3 linked regions of the Caenorhabditis elegans genome follow. The protein of the gene in region 1 interacts with the protein of each later gene in a pairwise test. Each region holds a gene or a part of one and is shown on either strand. Other genes may lie near its edges.

Evidence for each region. Proteins that work in one complex are often made in the same cells at the same time.
Region 2: the proteins of sec-3 (region 1) and F28C10.1 interact in a two-hybrid assay, tested with the Caenorhabditis elegans proteins (one large-scale study listed by BioGRID).
Region 3: the proteins of sec-3 (region 1) and C18B2.2 interact in a two-hybrid assay, tested with the Caenorhabditis elegans proteins (one large-scale study listed by BioGRID).

Annotation. Positions count from the first base shown.
Region 1 is NC_003284.9:3,094,406-3,102,147, reverse strand, and holds sec-3 (Exocyst complex component 1), read left to right. Parts: upstream 1-2,295; 5' UTR 2,296-2,310; coding exon 2,311-2,440; intron 2,441-2,486; coding exon 2,487-2,614; intron 2,615-3,041; coding exon 3,042-3,140; intron 3,141-3,191; coding exon 3,192-3,569; intron 3,570-3,618; coding exon 3,619-3,791; intron 3,792-3,838; coding exon 3,839-4,010; intron 4,011-4,084; exon of another isoform or gene 4,085-4,220; intron 4,221-4,319; coding exon 4,320-4,566; intron 4,567-4,612; coding exon 4,613-4,967; intron 4,968-5,016; coding exon 5,017-5,143; intron 5,144-5,191; coding exon 5,192-5,453; intron 5,454-5,501; coding exon 5,502-5,626; intron 5,627-6,077; coding exon 6,078-6,176; intron 6,177-6,225; coding exon 6,226-6,477; 3' UTR 6,478-6,720; downstream 6,721-7,742. Other genes in the region: ztf-13 (C2H2-type domain-containing protein), read left to right, coding at 1-408, 473-697, 749-903, 950-1,067, 1,539-1,667.
Region 2 is NC_003284.9:541,071-545,380, forward strand, and holds F28C10.1 (Sulfotransfer_1 domain-containing protein), read left to right. Parts: upstream 1-2,036; coding exon 2,037-2,223; intron 2,224-2,839; coding exon 2,840-3,186; downstream 3,187-4,310.
Region 3 is NC_003284.9:3,621,148-3,629,497, forward strand, and holds C18B2.2 (sulfotransferase family protein), read left to right. Parts: upstream 1-2,314; 5' UTR 2,315-2,768; coding exon 2,769-2,993; intron 2,994-3,961; coding exon 3,962-4,060; intron 4,061-4,106; coding exon 4,107-4,252; intron 4,253-4,321; coding exon 4,322-4,468; intron 4,469-4,561; coding exon 4,562-4,708; intron 4,709-6,156; coding exon 6,157-6,265; intron 6,266-6,489; coding exon 6,490-6,593; intron 6,594-6,848; coding exon 6,849-6,942; 3' UTR 6,943-7,168; downstream 7,169-8,350. Other genes in the region: Putative sulfotransferase vep-2, read left to right, coding at 7,169-7,372.

The DNA.
Region 1 (7,742 bases):
GAGCACAGTAGCTACGATCCACTAATCAGTGGACTCGAGCCTGAACCATTGGAAACCGTTTTCCAAGAACTTTTCGCGGGTATTAAGAACTATTTCACACAGGAGGAGACGCCTATTCCTTCGAAATTGCAAATTTTGCAAAAGCGTCGGCTCAATGAGAACCGTCCTCAAACGGAACTCAAAGAGCAAAAAACTGAGCCCAAAACAAGATCCCGTCAGTTTGCAATGCTTCGTTGTGGAACGTGTTCTGAAAATTTTGTATCACAATTTTCTTTGGAGCATCACGAGACCCTAAATCATCCCGTGTCGTTTAATTGGTTCTGTTCCGAATGTAATGTTCACTTTGACACTCTACAACAAGCCAGTGACCACACAATGCTGACTCACGGGTGTGGAGAGATGCCGGTGGTGAGAGAAAAAAAAAGAAAAAAAACGTACACATTGGTCGCTTAAAATACATTTTTTTTTGCAGTGTGAGTCAATGCAAAATGCTCGAATACCATCTGGCCCGTTTCTGATGCAAGCCATCACACGCCGTTCCAGTGATTTTGTAAAGGAATTCTTGTTCACCAGAGACAAACAAACAGTGATGACAACCGCATATTACACGTACGCAAAGTGTGAACTGCAGGCAGTTATGTCGGGTAGCATTGGCTTAGTGGTTTACAATCAGGCTAAAAGCGACTTATTGGCAACGGTTAGATAGAGTTCTAAATTTGCAGTTTTTAAAGCAGAACTATTTTTTCAGCTGGAGTCTGCAGATCACGATGATTTTGTGTCGAGCATGAAAAATACATTTATTTACGGGAAATTCATAAAACGTTCGCCTTCGGAAAGCTACGTCCCCTCGGCGACCGTTTTTAAGACACTGACTTTCAGCACAATGCCGCCCCAAGTCAAATTGTAAGAACTACCAAATTTAGGTTTTTAACAATATTTTTCGTTTTAGCAAAAAATCGTCTCGACCGGTTCCACCTGGAAAAAGTCTTGGAGAAGTCGTCTCTAAAATGGCGGCAAGTCAGCCGCAGTACACTGTGCGATCTGCTCCGTACTCAAAGGGTCGAGCGGTAAGATTTTGATAAATGCATTAAGTTACTTGTCATGTCAGAAGGTACTACTACATATTGTATTATCACTATTAGACTTGCTCACCGATTGCTTCACGCTGACAGCTAATATCTCGATTTTCTTTAATTTTATCAAAACATTTTAACTGCGTAATTACGTAAAATAATTTTCAACATATTGACATTGTACTATTTTTGGTACAATTTAAGACAACCGAGATATAAGCTAGCAGGTCTAATAGGACAAGTTTCAGTAGTTACCAAGATTTAAAATACTTCCAAATTCGGATTGTCCAGCATATTTTGTGTGTTTTTTCTTTAGAATACAATAATTACTAATGGGGCTAATCAAGTAATGTCGCGAAATGTAACAAAATGTATTGAAATATACATATGTCCACATTTGTTTTATAAAAAAAAATTTAAAGGGGCGATAATACAATTTACTGTAAAAACTAATAAATAAATCAGATCATCAAAATCCCGACTTCAATTCGTAACCGCAACTACACACTTCCACCTGCAGGCCCACTTCCGCTGCGTCGCACTTTGATTACTACCAACTACACCATGTATCCAGTCAGAAACGCTGTTCAGTGATAATCTCATTTTGAAACTTACCCCCGATTTAATATAGCTACATGTCATTAATCATTTTCTTTTGTCTCACTTAAGTTTTCTGTTACTTTTTTTCTACTTTTAACTTATGCCTCAAGTCACTTCCAAATCAAAACCACGACCTTTTCAAACTCTCTGTTGTTTTTTTTCTGATCCGTGTAATATTATTTATTGTTTCTTTCTTTTTTACTTTTGCAGATTCTCCTAATTGAAAACTTTCAATTGTCATTTTTTTACGGTCCGTTTTAGGAATCGTGTTCTATTTAAATAATTGCCAAAAATAAATCTTTTCAGGTCAATCAATTCGTTTCAATTCTATTACTATATCTTTTGCAAGTGTAAAAATAAAACCAAATAAAATTATTTTTGCTTCCCTGCATTGCAATATAAATAGTGGTGTTCATCGAGAAACGCGCACGCTAACCGGCCACTGGCGTGTTTTTCGTGTACTAGTCACCACAGAAAACTGCAGAGACGCAGAATAACTCCGTATGTTTTTACTGGGCATAACTGTTTCCAATTCCCTGATTTTATTGTTTTCTTTTTTAATGCTTGGTTTAAGTTTAAAATTTTTATTATTCTACTTAATCAATGTGATTATATAAATTTTCAATTTCAGATTTGAATGTCTGCAATCAGGAAGATAATCCAGCGGCAACTTTTCCAGAAAGACGATGAAAGAATTCAAGCAATAGTCAATGTCTCAAAGTTGGATGGAAAAAAGAAGAAAAACCAGACACTACTATGTTTAGCAGGTAAGAATTCTTGGAATTGTCCTGTATAAAAATCGATAACTTGCAGTCACAATCGAGCACCCCATCGCCGTCCGTTTATACTTTGTGAAAGGGGAGAAAGATGATACATTCAAAAAGAAGGACAGGTTCAATTTGAGAGAAGTCAGAGAAATCGACGGAATAAATCCGAAAAAAGTGAGTATTTGAAAATTATATGGATTCACGCAATTTATACGATATATGTAGTGAGCAAATGTGAGCGTAACGAAGAACATAACGCAAAAAATGTGAAGCTTCTCGAATAACTGAGGATTTTCAAGTTTTACGAACACTAATGTTTGATGGAGTTTATCAACCTAAAATAGCTAAAAATTCGCCATTTTGCCGCAACTTTTCAACGATCTTTATCAATTGTAAAAATTGCAATTAGCTAAAGTTAGGTGAGAAGTTGTTGAAAGAATAGTTATTGTACACTAAATTTGTCGAAAAGATGATGCAAATTGCAGGAATTATTTTGACAAAATGGCTTATCAATTAGTTAAATTCGCATTTACTTCAAGTTTTTTTGGGTTTAAAAAAAATTGAGAATTTTATTCAACTGACAAACATTAAAAAAATTCAGGCATCACCAGAGTTCCACATCACTATCGGTGATCATCAATATGTGATTTTGGCTGGTTCCGCTGAGGAAAAGGACGAGTTCATTCGAGAACTCTACAAGGTATCCAACTATAATACTTTCAACTTTTTTACTGAAAATTTCGTATTTTAGTTGTCATGCCAATACCTTCCAGTCCAGATGCCAGATTTCTGCAATTTCTCTCTACCGCAACTTGAATCAGAAACCTCCATTATACCCATTGAGCTTCCTGAGCATGATATGGCGATGCAAAGTGATTATCAGCCAATATCCAACAAGGAGGACGCAGACTTTCGAAAGTTGATTGCGCGAGCTAATTTGACTATTGGTGAAGCACATATTTTTGCCGAAATGCTGACGGAGCAATTGCAATCTCTCGATGGAGCCAACATCAACTCTATGATGGACAGTGAGAATTCCGTAAACCAGTTGCTTTCGAGTATTGATGCAGCATTGACCGGTGTTGAGTCGGTCGAAAAAGAGCTTGATCGTTGTGATGACATTTTGGCGGTACTACATTGTAAAGGAATTTATTGAAATTTTAATCAACTATTTTCAGTTTGTGAGGAACAGTATCGAATTGATCGAAGAGAAAGATAGTTTATCGGTGGTTGAAAGAAAGAACAAGCAACGTCTCAACGAGGAAATCGTTTCATTTGTCAATTCGTTGCAGGCTGTTACTGATTCCCACATTGAGACTCTGAAACAAGCTAACTTCAGTAACCCAGAAAGGTAGAGTGAACAACTTAGAGTTTTCAAGTAATATTATGATACTTCAGTGTTCAAAGATGCACGGACGCTGCACGCGCTGTTGCACAATTCTGGCACGGGAGGATTTCTAAGCCAATGCTTCAAATGAAAGCCTATCAGGACAGAAATGATGAGCTTACCGCAGTGGATGTCTTTGTCGATAGGCTCATGTCTCACCTCTCTGCACTGTTCTCGAATTTGGTAAGTTTCAATGAACGTGTGCTTGCTTGCTCGAGGACCCCCTAAATTGTAGAAGTATTAGAGAATTCCGGAGGTCACGCTCTCGCTAAAGGACCCTCTGAATTTTTTGAAAATTTCAACCAAAATTCTCGAATTTCAGATATTTTACAGCGCATGCGAAGCTTTTTTTACATCACATACCATAATTTCACAATAGATTCACGTTAAAATGTGGAGTTTTTTCAATACATCTATTATAAATTTTAGAAGAATCCTGTAGCAAGCGCGCGCACTGTATAAAATCATTTTCAACGCGTGTTTTTTTTTCAGAACGACTTATCTTTGGATCATGAGTGGCATGAACTGTGTATTCCAAAACAGTCTCAACGCTTTCGCGCCCTTTCTCCACTCTCTGATCTTATCAACTGGCTGAAAACGAACCGTCCAAAGGCTTGCAATTTAGTCTTGCAAAAGTATATCGACAGCACGAATCTACTTTACAAACGTCTATTTGACAATTTCTTTGAGACACTGATCAACAAAGTTCCAAAAGCTAACAGTTCTGAAAAGAAGTCAAGTATGTTTGCTAATATTTGCAGCAAAAAATAATCATCTGATTTCAGAAGCAAATGAATCTGCAAACATTTCACTTCGTTCTGACAACCAGAGTTTCCTGAGCACCTCCAGTGAAATTGATACTGAAGTCTTACCGCAACTCATCGAAACGGTGCTGGCAGAACTGAGCGCTGTGATTGACGCAGAGCAAAAGTTCGTTGTCCGCTTCTTCCACATCAACTCGGAGCTGTTGGCTCAGTTCGATACGACTTCAACTGGAAGCGGTGATAGCTCAAGTCTCGGAGGACGTAGTATGGAGAAACATATGAACGAGCAAGTGAGACACGTTATGGGCAACTTGTTTGACTCGCTCAATATTCATCTTGATAGTTTCTGTCGGGCGGTTTGTAGGCACAATCCTAGGTGAGAAAAGGTACACGTACATATTATTTTAAATTCCTACACATTTTAGCAATGTTCTCCTTTTGTTTGTAATCATGTCGAAGAAAGTGCTTCTACCACAAGACCCAAGCTCCTATTTTTCGATCACATTTGGAAGTTTAGTTGTTCTGATAAAACGCCAGTTTGATGCATTTATTGTGAGTTCCATTTATATGTACTGTAATTGCAATAATCTTCTCTTCCAGCAAATGGAATGTTCCCAGTACTCGGAAGTTCGCATTGCTAAAAAGACTAGAATCGGAATTCTCCCATCAATTTTTCGCTTTGCAAACTTTGTGAGACGTGCTGAAATTATCTTTGAAAATGCCGAGAGAAGAACTGACTTGGAGAAGGCATATTTCAATCTTTGCCGGGCGGTTTGTGACGGGATACAAAAAGCTGCCGCCAATCAATACAGCAAGTCTCCGTCGTCTGTAGTCAAGTTTGAAAATTACCACGAGCTCTATTGTAAGTGTTCTAGGAAACAATAAAGTGTGATGGTGATAAATGTTTCAGTGACTTTGTCGGAGCTAAAAATCTCATGTTTGGATCAACAACGAAAAGATGCGAAAGCGCTCAAGGAAGAACATATTGATGCGTACGTAAAAGAGTTTATGGGTCGTCCACTCAAAGAGATTCAGGTGATATATAAATATGGAAATTTATGTTTCAATACTGTGCTGCCAATGCTTGAAAAAAAACTTGACTATTATGCTTTAAACTAGTTTTTTCTTTCTAATTTTGGCTTGTCATTCTACAACATTTGTAAAAAAAGGCACTCTACCATAGTTTAAAGTTGGAGTACCAAAATTTGAGGCTTTGCTATTTTAGACCCAACAATTCAGCGCATATACGCCCAATAAAAGACCAACAAATTTATTAAAGAGTGATCAATAAATAAAAATTAAGTTCCAGACGCTGCGACACCGAGAAGTTGTAAAAATTGTGATTTTAGCTGCAAAACCTTTTTTCCGACTTTGAACCTCCATAACTTTTTTTGAGGAATTTTCAAAACATCTCATTCGAATTTCGGTACTCCACCTTTAAACAAAAATCTCCCAAAACTATCGATATGTATTCCAAAAATTTCAGACGTTCTTCGACAATGTCAACAACTTTATCGAAACGCGTGGAATTCGTCCTGATGAAATCTCGTATCAACAACAATTCAGTCGCATTGAGCTTAAAAAGGTTGAATTTCTAGTTAATCATCAAAATCGCCATTTCATAAATTTTCCAGGTAATTTCACAACATCCGGGAAAAGAAGTGAAAAAAGGACTCGAGCAACTGTACAAGAAAATTGAGAAGAACCTGGTTGCCAATTCATCACTTTTGCAAGTTGTATGGAGAGATATGCAAGAGCAATTTGTCAAGCAAATTGCGGAATACAACAAACTGATTCTCACTTGTTACCCAGGCTCGAAGATTGAGCTCGAAGTTTCCACTGACACTGTACTTCAGTTCTTCTCAGAAATTGCTCAACAACACTAATATTACGACGAATAATTTTATTGAATTTTGTTGTTTTAATTCATTTAAAATTTAGTTTTAATTTATCAGAACTCTAATACTTACTGAACCATGCTTTGTAATATATTTATTTATCTATTCTGTAATAGGTGAACTTCGTTACATTACTGATGTCTGTAATATAAATTTACGGGTGTTCCCCATTCGAAAATAGTAGTAATGCTTGCTTTTTTGAAAAATAAATGTCTTGCTTGGTGACTTTTATTTCACGTATTTTCAAATGCTCACAAAAATTTCACGGAACTGACTTCTTGGTTACACATTTGTAGAAATTTTGACTGAATGTTTGCATTGAACTGGTCAACTTAAGAATCTGACATGCAAATGGTGTGTTTTCTGAAGAACACACTTTGGCAACTTTTAATAAAAAAGGGGTGTAACACGATTTAAATCTAATAAAAACAACTTCTATAATGTTATTCCGTTTATATCTCACTTTATGTTTTACATTTTACTCTTATATACATTTTTTGACTCATTTATACAGGGTGGTCCATAATTATGGACCACCCTGTACTTATATCTTATTTAAAACTATTTCATGTAAGAATTGTTTTAACAGCGCATTTTTTTTCATCACTCGATTTAAAGGTAAAATTGATAGGCCGCAATCTATTTTGGAAAACTTCAGAACAAAATTTAACATTTTAAGAGGTAACTGTGAAGGTTTATAAGAGAATTATAAACCGATCTAACCACTAAACATGGTAACGTAGAAAAAGTAAAATTAGGGGAGGGGGGATGTTTATTTATTCTTGGTTTTCAATTCTTATCAGACTCTGTAAAGTAAAATGAACATAACTTGTTCGAATAGTGTAGGAATTTCAAACAAGCTACAAATCTAGCTCCACATACGCGTGGAATAGCCGGTCATAAATCGTCTTCCGTTAACCGCATGGCTAGATCCACACCGATTCCATTTTTCTTGAATAAAACAATAGCTTGATGAAAATTGGGTAGCCACCGAAAAAACTGATTCGCGATCCGGATTATTGGTGACAAACATACGGCAAGTGAAAGTGTTGCACTGATAGAAACCGATACGAGAATATGCCTTTTGGGCCCCCCCCCCCCCCCCCCTACGGCTTCACTCCCGGTGTTGTAGATCTGACTTTCACTTGCCTTATCTCGAGGAATCTGGAGAGGAGAAGGAGGGACAACCGATCCGCGCGCGCGTAACAATACGGGAGATATAGAGGAAAAGCAGCAAAAAGACATTTTGATGA
Region 2 (4,310 bases), 2.6 Mb from region 1:
ATTTTATAATTCGCCATAAAAAGAGTCAATACGGTTTTGAAGCGATTTTGAGATGTATGCAGTTTTTGAGCAGTGGGCAAAAATGGACGAAGATGAAAAAACATTTGGCACATTATAAGCATTTGGGGGAACAATTATTTTTTGGTTTTTTAAGTTTTGGTTTTTGCTATTTCTACATGTGGTGTGTTAGATGTGTTCGATGTGTTCGCGACATTGAATGACGGAACACGGTACTCGACGGTAGACTTTAAATATGCTTACCTTTAAGTCAAGTTGGCTGATGAGTCAAAGCCACTGTTCACGGTGAATACGCACAGAGGCTTGAATGAGAACCAAAGGTTAACATTTGGTGCAAAACCATCTGCCAACAGGGCTATCCGGATACTTTTGTTTCGGATAATGGGACACAGTTTGTGTCGAAAGAGTTTGCCGAAATGTGCGCAGCTACGGTATTGAGCACAAAAGGTCACCAGCGTTTCATCCATAGTCAAATGGACAAGTCGAGCGCTTTCCCGACACGTTGAAAAGAGGGTTGAAAAAGTTAAAAGGTGTCAATAGTGAAATAATGTCACAATTTCTGCTTCACTACCGAGCAACGCCGTCAAATGCTCTTGGAGGATTGACACCGGCGGAAGTGCATATTGGAAGACGTCTCAGAACGAGAACGTCTCTGATGATGCCAAGAAAAGATCATTCTGAAGATTCTACAGCTTCCACGTTAGCTATGAAAGATCAGTTTGATAAGCATAATAGAGCAAAAGCAAGATATTTTCATGAAGATGAAAAAGTGTTTGCTAAAGTGTACGAAAGAAATAGCTGGTCATGGAAACCAGGAAAAGTTGCTAACAAGCAAGGAAAAGTAGTATATGTCAACATATTAGATGATGGAAGAGAAAGAGCGGTTCATGCAAATCAGCTAAAGCCAAGAGTTGATGAAAAAGAGACCGTCAGGGTAAATGCATGGAAAGATACTATGAGTGACACTTCTGAGTTGTTACCATATGATAACGAGGATTATGAAGTTATTGAAAGAAAGACTAAATTGCCAACTATCATGCCAACACTGAAGGAGGACAATTCTGGAAGTTCAAGTTCAACGACTCCAGCTCAGCCAGTTCAGTCGCCAGTTGTTCAAGGACCAGTTCAAGGAGATCACGCTCAGCAGCAGGATGCTCTGGTTCTTTTGCCGAATGCTCGAGGACCATCACGTGCAACATCGCCAGTTCCGATTAGACGATCTACGAGACAGCATTCGATCAGATTCGATCCATGTGCATAGACACGTTCATGTCTATATAATTAATTACCCAATCTTTTGTTCTACGTACCCCCAAGTTTATTTATACAAAGGGTGGTGTTGTGTGTTACTATTAGGGTGAGCAAAAAATGTTACTATTAGGGTGAGCAAAAAACAAAAAAAGATTTTTTGTATTTTCTCAGTTTTCATCCTTTCTCAAATATTTAGTATGTGGTACATAGTAGTCTGTTAGTAGTACAAAATATATTGATGTCATATATTTCCGCCAACTTCCAGACTGATTGATCCTCAAAACTACGTTCAAAAAAATTTCCAATTTTTTCGATTTTTTCGGATTTTTTAAGATTTTTTCGGATTTTTTCGGAAAAAATCGCAAAAAAAAACGCATAAAATCGATAAAAAACACGACCTCTAAGCTACTCACACGTAGAATGAATCCAAATTTTCTGGATTTTTTCGGATTTTTTCGGAAATATATCAAGCGTTCTTCAAAATAAATTTGAATGTTACTCCAAGGTTTTCCCCCGGAAAAATCGTTGCACCCCCATAAAATGATGACTAATCAGAATGGCTGAGTTCTGCAGATACTCCGTGTGTTAAGTGGGAGGAGTGAATGACATGGAGTTCATTCGTCATGGGACGCTATGTTGGCTTACTATTCTGAGCTTTATTATTTCCACTCACATTCTCGCTCACTAAAATATTTCTCATACATCATCGGTTCTCAAATTTTGCGATTAAATTAATGAAATATTACAGAATGTTAACCGGGCAAAAAATGCAAATCCCTTGCCCATCCGTCCCCGCTGATGAAGAAGTCTGCGAGAACCCACCAAAAGAAATCGGTGACGAAGAATACGACCAAGTCATCATTCAATCCATGATGGACGAAGCGAATAGAGATCAGAAGGGGTATTGGATCCGGTTGATGGAAGAAGGAGATGCTCATCCAGCGCGAAAGCAAAGTTAGTTACTCCAGCCATATTGTCAAAAATGAAAAAACTTTCACCAATGCAGTTAATATCTGATAAGTTAATCCTTAAGTATGAAGAGAGGATGCCGGTATGCCTCAGGGCTGTGCAGCAGTTAGATTAGCCGTGCCGTAAAATTTTCGGCAACCGGTAAGGTGCGTTTTTCTAAACAAAAAATGAAATAAATAGTTTTCATTTGTTGAAGTTTCCAAAAAAACTGTTTGACAATCGACAATTGAAGCTCTGGTAGTAATTTACTATTAAATCTCTGCGCATCCAGCTTTGAAGTTTCTAAAGGGAATGCGCGTCCCACATCAGTCAAGGACCGCGACGAATGACTCGTGCCTCTTGAGCAGGTTATGGCTGAATATGAAGCACATCTATCATGTAAATAGTATCAATTTTTGTTAAAATACTGTAAAGTTTCGGCTTGTCCTTAGGCGCGAACGACATCCGCTAGCTGCTGACATTGTGAAACGATATTGTAAAAAATCCTTAACGAAAGTCCCGCCGGAGATCAGTTGTTCTTTTGATATATGACTTTTCCGACTGTGTGGTGGAATTCTGTAAAACACCAAACAAACCATAATTTATCTCTCTTTCTTTTCAGTGGGAAAAGTAGACTTTCGTAACTTCCTGAACATGCGCTACGAGAGAACCAGCCGATCGAGCTGTAGCGAAATTCAACGACTCAACCAGACTTATGATTGGCTCCGCGAGTTCCACTTTGGATGGGAGAGAGAGATCTTTGTCGTCTACACCCATTTCGATCATCCGGCCTCGTTCGTCATTGAGAAACTCTTCTTGGACCATATGAATTTATCAATTTCTGAATTTGAAGATCAGACCAGCTACACAAGCAAGACGACTTCCCGTAACACCAAGTACATCGATTATTACAAGCTGTCGCAGTTGATGAAAGACTTTGTCCCGTTGGATATCAGTTTCTTCAGATAATTGTTTTTTTTTTAATTTTTGGACTTTACTCTTCCCCTCCTGTCACTACATAGATTATTAAATTTCATCACTTTTATTTTTTATATTAAGTGTGAGTATGATTATTCAATAAATTATCTTGAAACAGAACATACAAGTTTAGAAGTTCAATCAACAGTCATGTTTCGTCATATCAATATGCCTTGGCGATTTATGAAAAACAGAAAGAAGTTGCCTGTAAGCATTTCTCAGAAAATAATGTACTCAATCACGATAGACATTCGGATCTAGTTATTTTTTTTCTTGTAAGTATTACTATTTCTCGTTGGCGTTGACGCAGTCAAACTGAAGGATCTTGTCGTACGTTTAATTTTTATGCAATAGCAGTATACCACCAAAAATACATTTCCCATTTCTATGTTAAATTGTTCTTTATCTTAATTGAAACGAAAGGTTGTTTTGCATTTTTACGCAGAGAAAACTACCATATCTAGCCCTAACATTGTAGCAAAGCTCACGGTAATAATTTTTGGTAACTATTGTCAAAATACAAGAACTGTCACATGAAATTTGACTGCAGGTGATGACAGAAACAGGAGAATGAAAAACGCTAGAAACAGCAGTTTTTGCGCTGTATCATCGCATTTTCTTGTCTCCCGTTTCTGCCATCACCCGCGGGGCCAGCTGTTTTTTCGGCATGCGGAATTGAGAGAAAAAATTTCGCGCGCGTTGCTGCAGTCAAATTTCATGCGGCAGTTTTTATGTTTTGATAATATGTATTTCAATGAATAACATTTTTGGGGTACGGCTACTTCATAAGTTTCAACTTTTTCGTAATTGATTCACGCATCTGCTTAAATAAGTATAGACAATAACCCTGAATTTAGCGTGACCCAGTGATACTAGTAGAACTCACAATCAGGAGACCGTTTTTCTCACAAGGTTTTCATGTCTTCCAATACAACTAGGAAACGTAAGGAGTGTGAAAATTTGAATAAGTTTTTTTTTTAAATTTAAATTTAAATCTTCTCAGATTTCAGGAGTATATTTTGTTTTATAGGACTATTGAAATATGTCAGGTAAAAACAAAAAAAGGGGGGGGGGGGCAAATTGATCAAATAAATGGCAGAGCAGGATCAATAGAA
Region 3 (8,350 bases), 530 kb from region 1:
TCAAATATATATTTATCAGTATTCAGTTTTCTAAAAAAATTTTTTTAAAAACTGGTACTATGAAACTAAAAAAAGGATTAAAAAGGATTAAAGGACGATCCGTTCTTCAAGTGCTATGCACTGCGGATCTGGGATTCAGGTACACTGCCTGGTGGTGATCCCTCTGGGCTGTAATTTAAGCCACGTCCTAGCCGGGGACTGTGGCCGATAATCCAGTCGTGGATTGCTCCACTTCCCAATAGAGGCTGGGTGAACCTAGGGGGTGAGGCCGGACTTGAACTCGTGACCTCCAGACTGCTAGCGGCCACCACTACCGACTGAGCTATCTGCCCCCGAAAATTGAAACTAAAAATCGGAAATCAATAAAACTATTCAAAACATTGCGCAATAACTCTAAAATCAAGCCAGATAGTTCATCTGCGGCAACATTAGAACTCTTTTTTAATAATTGATGATTGGGTGCGAATAGTCTGATAGTGGGGCAAACTTATCACCTGACATAAAATTCCTCACACTCTCCAACCCACATGATAAATCGCTGGTCCTCTTTTTTCGACAGATTGGAGTTTGAATGCGTGATCGGATGTAGGTGAAGAGATGGAACTCATTGAGAAAAGTTTCTCTTTTTATTTTGCTCAATCTATACTTATATCGACCACACATACATCATCCCCTTTTTTGTTGTGAGAAAAAATATGTCAATCTTCGTAGAGATTGAACTTAGTAGATAAGTATTGTTGCAAGGATTTTCTACATGATTTTTCTAAATAAATTCACAACAAAAACAATTTTTTCTTATGCTTTTTTCAAAATAAAGCGGAAAAGTGAAAAAGAAAAACGACATGGTTGGTTGGTCAACGGATTTCTAGGACTACCTCATTAATCACTATTGCTTCCTGATGTACTCGACAAATCTCCTGAAGCAGCTGTATTCTGGTGGTTGTTGAAACGAGATCTACCAATTAATACCGAAAAATAATGCATCTAGAAGAGCACAAGGAAGTGGAGCAGTACTACTCTAGTGTAGAATCCAGAGAGTAATTTGATTATCATAGTCTCATGGTCGGGAAGAGCAAGAAGTTGAGAAGTTATGAGAAACCAATTGTGAAAGACTCTGTGACACACTGGTCTACTGGGACCAAACGTGTTCGAAATTTGAGCGAAAAAACGAAAGAAGAATCGAAGAAGAGCCGAGATTTTTCTGAACAGATTAAGGTCAATGCAGAAAAACGGAACAGAAATAAGAAAAATTGTTTTCAGCATATCATCCTCACCATTGTTTTTTCTAGGTTCGTCATGCAAATGAGGAGTCCGGGAGAGCTTTTGTCGTTTTTTTCTTTTTTGGATGAAAAATATGAAGTGACCGGAGTAGGTGATAAACAGGTCCCTGGAGAAAAATCAGGAGCTTCAGCCTCCAGTCTTTCAGGAGCAAAAGTGAAGGACACGTTTTGGACATGATGCCAGAAAACTTGCAGGCATCGCAACATTTTTCTTTTTCCGCTGTTTTTTTTGTTTTTTTTTCACATCTTTTGACAGAAATACATTGGTGTCTTTTAACTGTTCCGAGGGAATTGAAACTTTCTATCCTTTCGTTTCGAGTGATTTGTCCTTTTTGTCTCCAAAAACATAGAACGAAAAATTTCAAAAGATTTGGGATACGTACACTATCGGGACTGTGATTTCTCCAGAAAGTGAAAAACAAAAACTATGACTGTATTTATGAACATTTCAGAAAAATATAAGTGTACGGGCTCAACTTTTTGTGAGCAATATTCTTAAATGTTTTGGTTAATGAATTTGTTTTTTTTTAATTTTTGTTCATTTGCAACGTTTCTATCAGAAACGTTGCAGTATGGGCATTGTTTCAAGAATTTCCAGGAACTTTTTTTAAAAATATTTCAACATTAAGTTTCAAAATACTAATCAGATTCACATAATAAAAATTGAAAAAAAATTTTGGGACCTGCTACTACATCGTTCTGTGAATCCGTGGAACCGAAGACTCGGAGCTTTTTTTTTGGTCGTTCTCAGTTTTCAGTTACGGATCTTGAGTCTAATTTTTTTTGCCCAGCAAAACATTCTACAAAATTTTGTCAGCTCGTTTTTTTCACAATATTTTATTAACTCAACTCAAAAAAAATTAAAGCTGATGACATGTCGCAAGTTTATTTCTAACAAATATGTGTGCAACTTTTAATAAATTGGGTTTTTTTTCGAAACAAGTTTCACTACTGAAATAGTCTATGCGATGAGACTGCCCCGCCAGAACTTTTTTTTGAAACTTGTTGATATCAATTTGGCGACAGCAAAAATGTAAAAAATATTATGCACAAAATTTCCGTCGTTAAAACTTTTTTCCCAAAATCCGCAGTTTTCAAGTTATAATATTAGGAAAAATTGGAAAATCACCCAAATACAGAAAGCAAAAACATCAAATTTGTTGTTCAAAAGTTACACCGATCGACTTTTGATCACTACTGTGTGTTCAGGTATGTTACATACATTACTCATATTTACTAGATCTATACCTGCATTTCTAGAATGGAGAACAACTCTACGATTTTTGTGCGAGATTAACCGAGATCGCTTCACGTGGGTGACAGATTTATCCGCCCGCATATTCATTCAAAATTGTACCTGATCACAGTAGATCAATACCAAAAAAGAGATTAAACTACTTTCAAAGAACGCATCTCTCCGCCTTCATGAAAGTACCATTTCATTTCATTGTTCGCAAATTTTCATTCACAAAATTATCGCGTTTGAAAATGACCAATATTGTTCCGAGAATACTTGGTTTTGTCCTATTTGTACTAGGAGCTGCTATTTTTTTGACGGAAGTCATGCATTCTTATCATCGATTTGTGAAACAATCCGAGGAATATTCAATATCTAACTCGAATACCGACGATGCTCCAACGAAGAAAAAACAGATGAAGGCATTTTTCAGTTTATACCACAATATGGATGAACTAAAAGCGCAAAACAGTGACGTAAGTTTTAGATTTGAATTTTGGGAAGCTGTTCTTTCAATAATGTGTTGGGTAGAAGCCGTATCAAAAAGTGAACATTTCTAAACACGGAAGTTCAATTTTTTTATTATTGCATAGGTTTAGAATAAAAACTTCATAGCCTAAGCTGAAAGTTATCCAGTATTAATGTTTTAAAGATACCGCCCATTGGTCTAAATACACTTGTAGTCTAACATGTCCGAATATTATATGAAAATACTTTAATTTTTTTCCAATTTCACAAACTTATAATTGGCGAAATTCCCATCAATGTGAGCTTTTTGAAAAGCTTCGAGCATTGCCGCAATCTCTATAATGTTCAAATGAAAATAAGTAAAACATAATTAGATCATAAAAATCTTTTAAAAAAGTTCTGAACAAACTTAACGGAAAATGAAAACTGAGTTTACACCTTTTTTGATGGCACTTAAAAATATTTCAAACAATTTTTGAAAATGCTTGAAAAATATACCTATTTTTGAGGTCAAGAATTTCTTGGAAACTCAGAAATTCGTGTCTAGGAAAATATTAGCATCACACATACTTGAACAGGTCATGTTTTTGGCGTCGCTTCTAGAGATCAAATTGAGAGGGTACAATGTGAATGCAATAACCCTGTTAAATTCTTCACAATATAACTATAACACTGCCAATTTTTTTGGGTAATCTCCTCCTTACAAAAAAATTGGGCACACTGTAGAGAATGGCTGAAAAAATTGGAAAAAAAGAGCTAGTGTAGATATTTCCAAAATTTGTTTTTTAATGCCACATTTTACAAAAATTTGAATTTTGTGAGTAAACGTAAGAATTTGGAAATTCAAATAATTGAAACATTATTAAGTTTTTGAGCAACTGCTTTCACTTCCAATTGTTTGACCTAACTATTTTACAGACACCCAATACATTTGTTTTTCAAAACGCTCTTCAAATATATTATAGGCACATTTCAGGTAGTTCAACCACGTGTTTTAAAAGGAACCGCTCGAGAGTTTTGCAACAACACAGATCACTGTATTCGCCCATTTTTAAACCATGAGACCAGATATCGAGTGAGACACCAATGCAAAGATCATAATTCTAACTTTTATGTTAAAGGTCGCGCCGGATTACAAAATGGCCCACTGTGTAGTTCACAAGAGTATGTCTACGGTTATAACCGGGATCTGGTGTTATTTGTTCAATAGAAACCGTTTTGTGAGAGTCGATAAGCAAATGAACATGTCCGAATGGGATAAAGAATCGTGAGTGAGGGAGCAAAGATTGAAGATTTGAAGATTGTTTAAGAGTGAAAAACTATTTAAAAATTTAAGGCTCTGCCGAGGCGACAACACATTTCGTCATTTGAAGAGTCTTCAGAAAAAATATAATGCGAGTGAAATGACTGGATGGAGTTTGTCAATGATAACACGAGATCCCATTGACAGATTCATATCGGGTTATGTGGATAGATGCATAAGGTTCGTCTAAAAGTCCAAGTCCACAACAACTTCTTCCCCCATCAACTACCCTCTCACCCCTCTTTACTTTTTCTTCTTATTGTCACATTGCAGAGTGGCTGAGGGACCGAGTCCGTGCAACGGATGCGATAAGAATATGACATGCTTCATTTTGAGCGAGTATGAAAGATTCAAAAAGCAAGCCCACAAAGGGGTTCTCACAAACACTTTTGAGGATCGACACTTTTATCCGCAGAATTGGTGAGAGGAAGACTATTGAATTATTAAGATTCTCGCGTTTTTCTGAATGATACCCACAACAAAGAAAAGGGTAAAAACGTCAAAGAAACTTTTTGTGTGGAAGGGTTTGTCGTAAAAAATCAAAAAACGCGAAAAGTTTTGCATTAGAAATCTAACAACATATTTCTATGAACGCGCTTTTCTAACACTACCATGTTTATTCTATATTAACATGACTGCAATATTAATTTTGAGACACGTTCTCGCGCGCAATACTCATAGAGAGTACAAACTGACAAACATTCACTTGAAAACAAGTAAAATCCAAAATTGTTTCAGACATTTGATATTTCCCATTTTGTAATAAAAACCACATTTTCCTTATAACTAATTTGTACTTTTGTTCATAGTATAATTTTGAAAAAAATTTGACGCAACAGTCTGAGAAAATGAAATAAGTAGTCTCACATTCAATTAAATTAGCGATCGACCTGTGTATGATCACTAAAAAAGGATTGAAGTTTAACATTTCAAAAAAATCCCATTTTTGTAATTTTTATGGAAAAATATCAGCAACTCCGTTAGTCATGTCAAAATTTCTTTAAAGCGACAGTACAATCTTAAATATTAGTAGTGAAGCCGAGTACTGGTCACCAGCACAAGTGGGAATGTTTCATGACACTCTAGGAGATTTCAGGAAAAATGGATGGTTTAAAATTTAATGAAAGAGTTCTAAGATAATCTCAAATTGTTTTAAAAAACAGGAATACCACCAGTGGATGTTTTTTTTTCAAAATATACTTTACAGACAATGTGAAATCAAAAAGACACTTTTTAAATCCAGTCAAAGTTTTGGCAAGTTATGATAGTCTCAGAAAGTTTGGACATTTTCACTTAAAAACTTTTGCTGATTATTTTCCAAAATCACGATGTATTTTAATTGATATTCCGACTGCTTTATGAAAGTCTTTTAAAAAGTTTAATGTTGATATTGTATACTTTAGCATTACTGGTGATACTCCACATTTCAAATATGTATCAAGTGTAAGCGAATTTATAAATTATGATACTTGTGTATTACATGCCCTCATTTTCAAATTAAATTATATTTTACTAATTTCACCAATTAAATTAAACATGATATACATTTTTCCTTTTTAAGCTTAGAAAATGTTGTTTCCTAAGCCTAAAAATATAAAATTGTGGTTCACGTCTTTATTTTTCATAACTTGAAAAATTACTTTAAAAGTGAGGGCATGTAATACACAAGCACCTAAATTATTTTGGGCGATATTTCAGTAGCAGTGCACACACATTATCCTAACTTTTACAAAGCATGAATCGATTTCTCGGATTTCTCAAATTAAAAATAAAAATATCATTTGAATATAATACACCTAGAGTAAGACTCTGATTTTTCTATAAAATTACAAAAAAAATTTCAAAATAACAACGTACAAATTTTCCAGGAGATGTGATATCAAGACAATGCGAAATAAATATGAATTTATCAGATATTCAAGTGATGCATCGAAAGAACTCATGGAAGACTTATTCAAAATTGCTAGACGTCAAGGGGTGAGTGAGGTTGAAAATACCGGCCGGCTCATTAAAGTTATGAAAATAGTTTGTTTTGGAACACAAGCCGTGATGAAGCCACTTTTCGTTATTTTTTTATACTGCGGGTTTTGTGGCAGCATGAAAAAAATGCTGAGATGAAGATAAACATCAAATAACAATTCACTTTTATGGTCATGAATTACATTTTTGTTTCACTTATGCTTTACCTTTTTATTTTTCAGATTCCAGAAAAGGAGTTGGAATATATTGAAAATGAACTAACCAAAAACCGAAAAACTTCACATACGACCGCTTATTCGCCGGCCAGAGAGTTTTTCCAAAGGAGGTAGGTATGCAAAATAGGAGGAAAATGACATTTTGTCCGAAAAGTTGTGGTGAACTTGTGACTCGGCATGGTGGTGCGGAAATAAGAAGCATCTCAGAAATCATGACATTATTTGACGCTTTCTTTTTCCGGCGATTCACTATTTTCTGGTTCTAAAATGCAGATGCTTTACCCTCGGTAATGGGTGGTACAATTTGGGGGGTCTTCGTCTTTATGTGAAATTCAAGAATGTGCCTCACGAATTTGTTTTTGCAGACTCCGAGAGAGCCCACTGTTAATGGAATACGTGGTGCGAATGTTCTACCACGACTTTGTCATTCTCAATTACCCATTGCCGGAGGGCTTCTAATAGCCAAAAAATACTATATTGGATTACCATATCCCAATGTGCCATATTTATTGTAAAAGTCTGATAATGTGCCATTCAGTTACCAAGTATGCACCAAATTCGTTTTTTTTCTCAATTTTGTCATCGATAAACCCTTTTTTGGCTAAAACGTCACACAGGTATTACCACAAATCCCACACAATCCTTTCATAATTTGGTACTTTGGAAGTTTCATTTATTTTCAATTATGTTCGCCCCACACACGAATATCATGTCGATTGCAAGAGTTCTTATCATAATAGCTTCGATTTCTGTAATTTGTATAACATTATTCATATCGCGACCTGTTACACGTGAGAGTTCAATTATAATTGCTCCTAAAACACGGGATATGCGAGCTGAACAAATTCGCCTGTTTGCATTAAATGCGATGGTTAAAGCCAATTCTCATGTGAGTTTTTTAAAAGTTAATCAGGTAACAATTTGAAACATTTAGACAAAGAAACCTTGTTCCTACTCCGAAACTAGCCGTATATTGTTAATGAACTATGTAATAGACATGATACAAAACAATTTCCAATTAATTCTGAAATTAAAAGGTTTGCCAAAAAATACCTTTATATTTTGACATTTACTTCTGTCTCGCTCACAGTAAGAATAACGTTTTTGGACTTTTTTTACTTCCGTACACCTAAAATAACCACAAAAAGTAAAATTTAGACATAGCTTTCGAAAGTTGTTTCAGAGTTTTAAAAATGAAATATGCAAGCGTTATTCGTTTTTGTTTTGTGACATCTAGTATAACTATTGCTACTCCGTGTAGTGTACAAAATTGCTACTGATATTTAGAATTCATATATAGTGTTTCTGAACGAAGTTTGAAAACTATTTGATAACAGTGCTGAAAAATCAATATTTTCAAGAATGAATAGATTTGAACAAAATAGATTAATTCTAAGATTTATAGTAGCGTTTCTACCAACAAACCCTTCAAAATTGAAGCTTTGAAAATATGATTTTTTAGTACGGTTGATCTCTTTCCCATTTTTAAAAAATATATAATTCATTCTCGTTATTACAAAAATTAAATAACATCACAGAATAGTCAACGGGAAGAAGGAAAAAAATGGTAAAGTGATACTATAAACCATCAAATAGTTAGGGGGATTAAGTTGGGAGAATAAGTTTACAAAGGTGAATCACATTCAAACGGAACGCAAAAATCAAACGGTTTCACGTAGAAAGCTGCTATTTTGGGCTCCAATAGGTTTCAGCATAAAGGGATATCTCGTTGATTGAGTTTCAGGGACAAATGGCGTAAAATAGTAATTGCCGGAAATAATATTATGATAGGTTCTGAAGATTTGTAGAAATTTGTAGAAGTGACTTATGTTGAATAGATTTCATATTGGCTTGAGCAAGACGATCT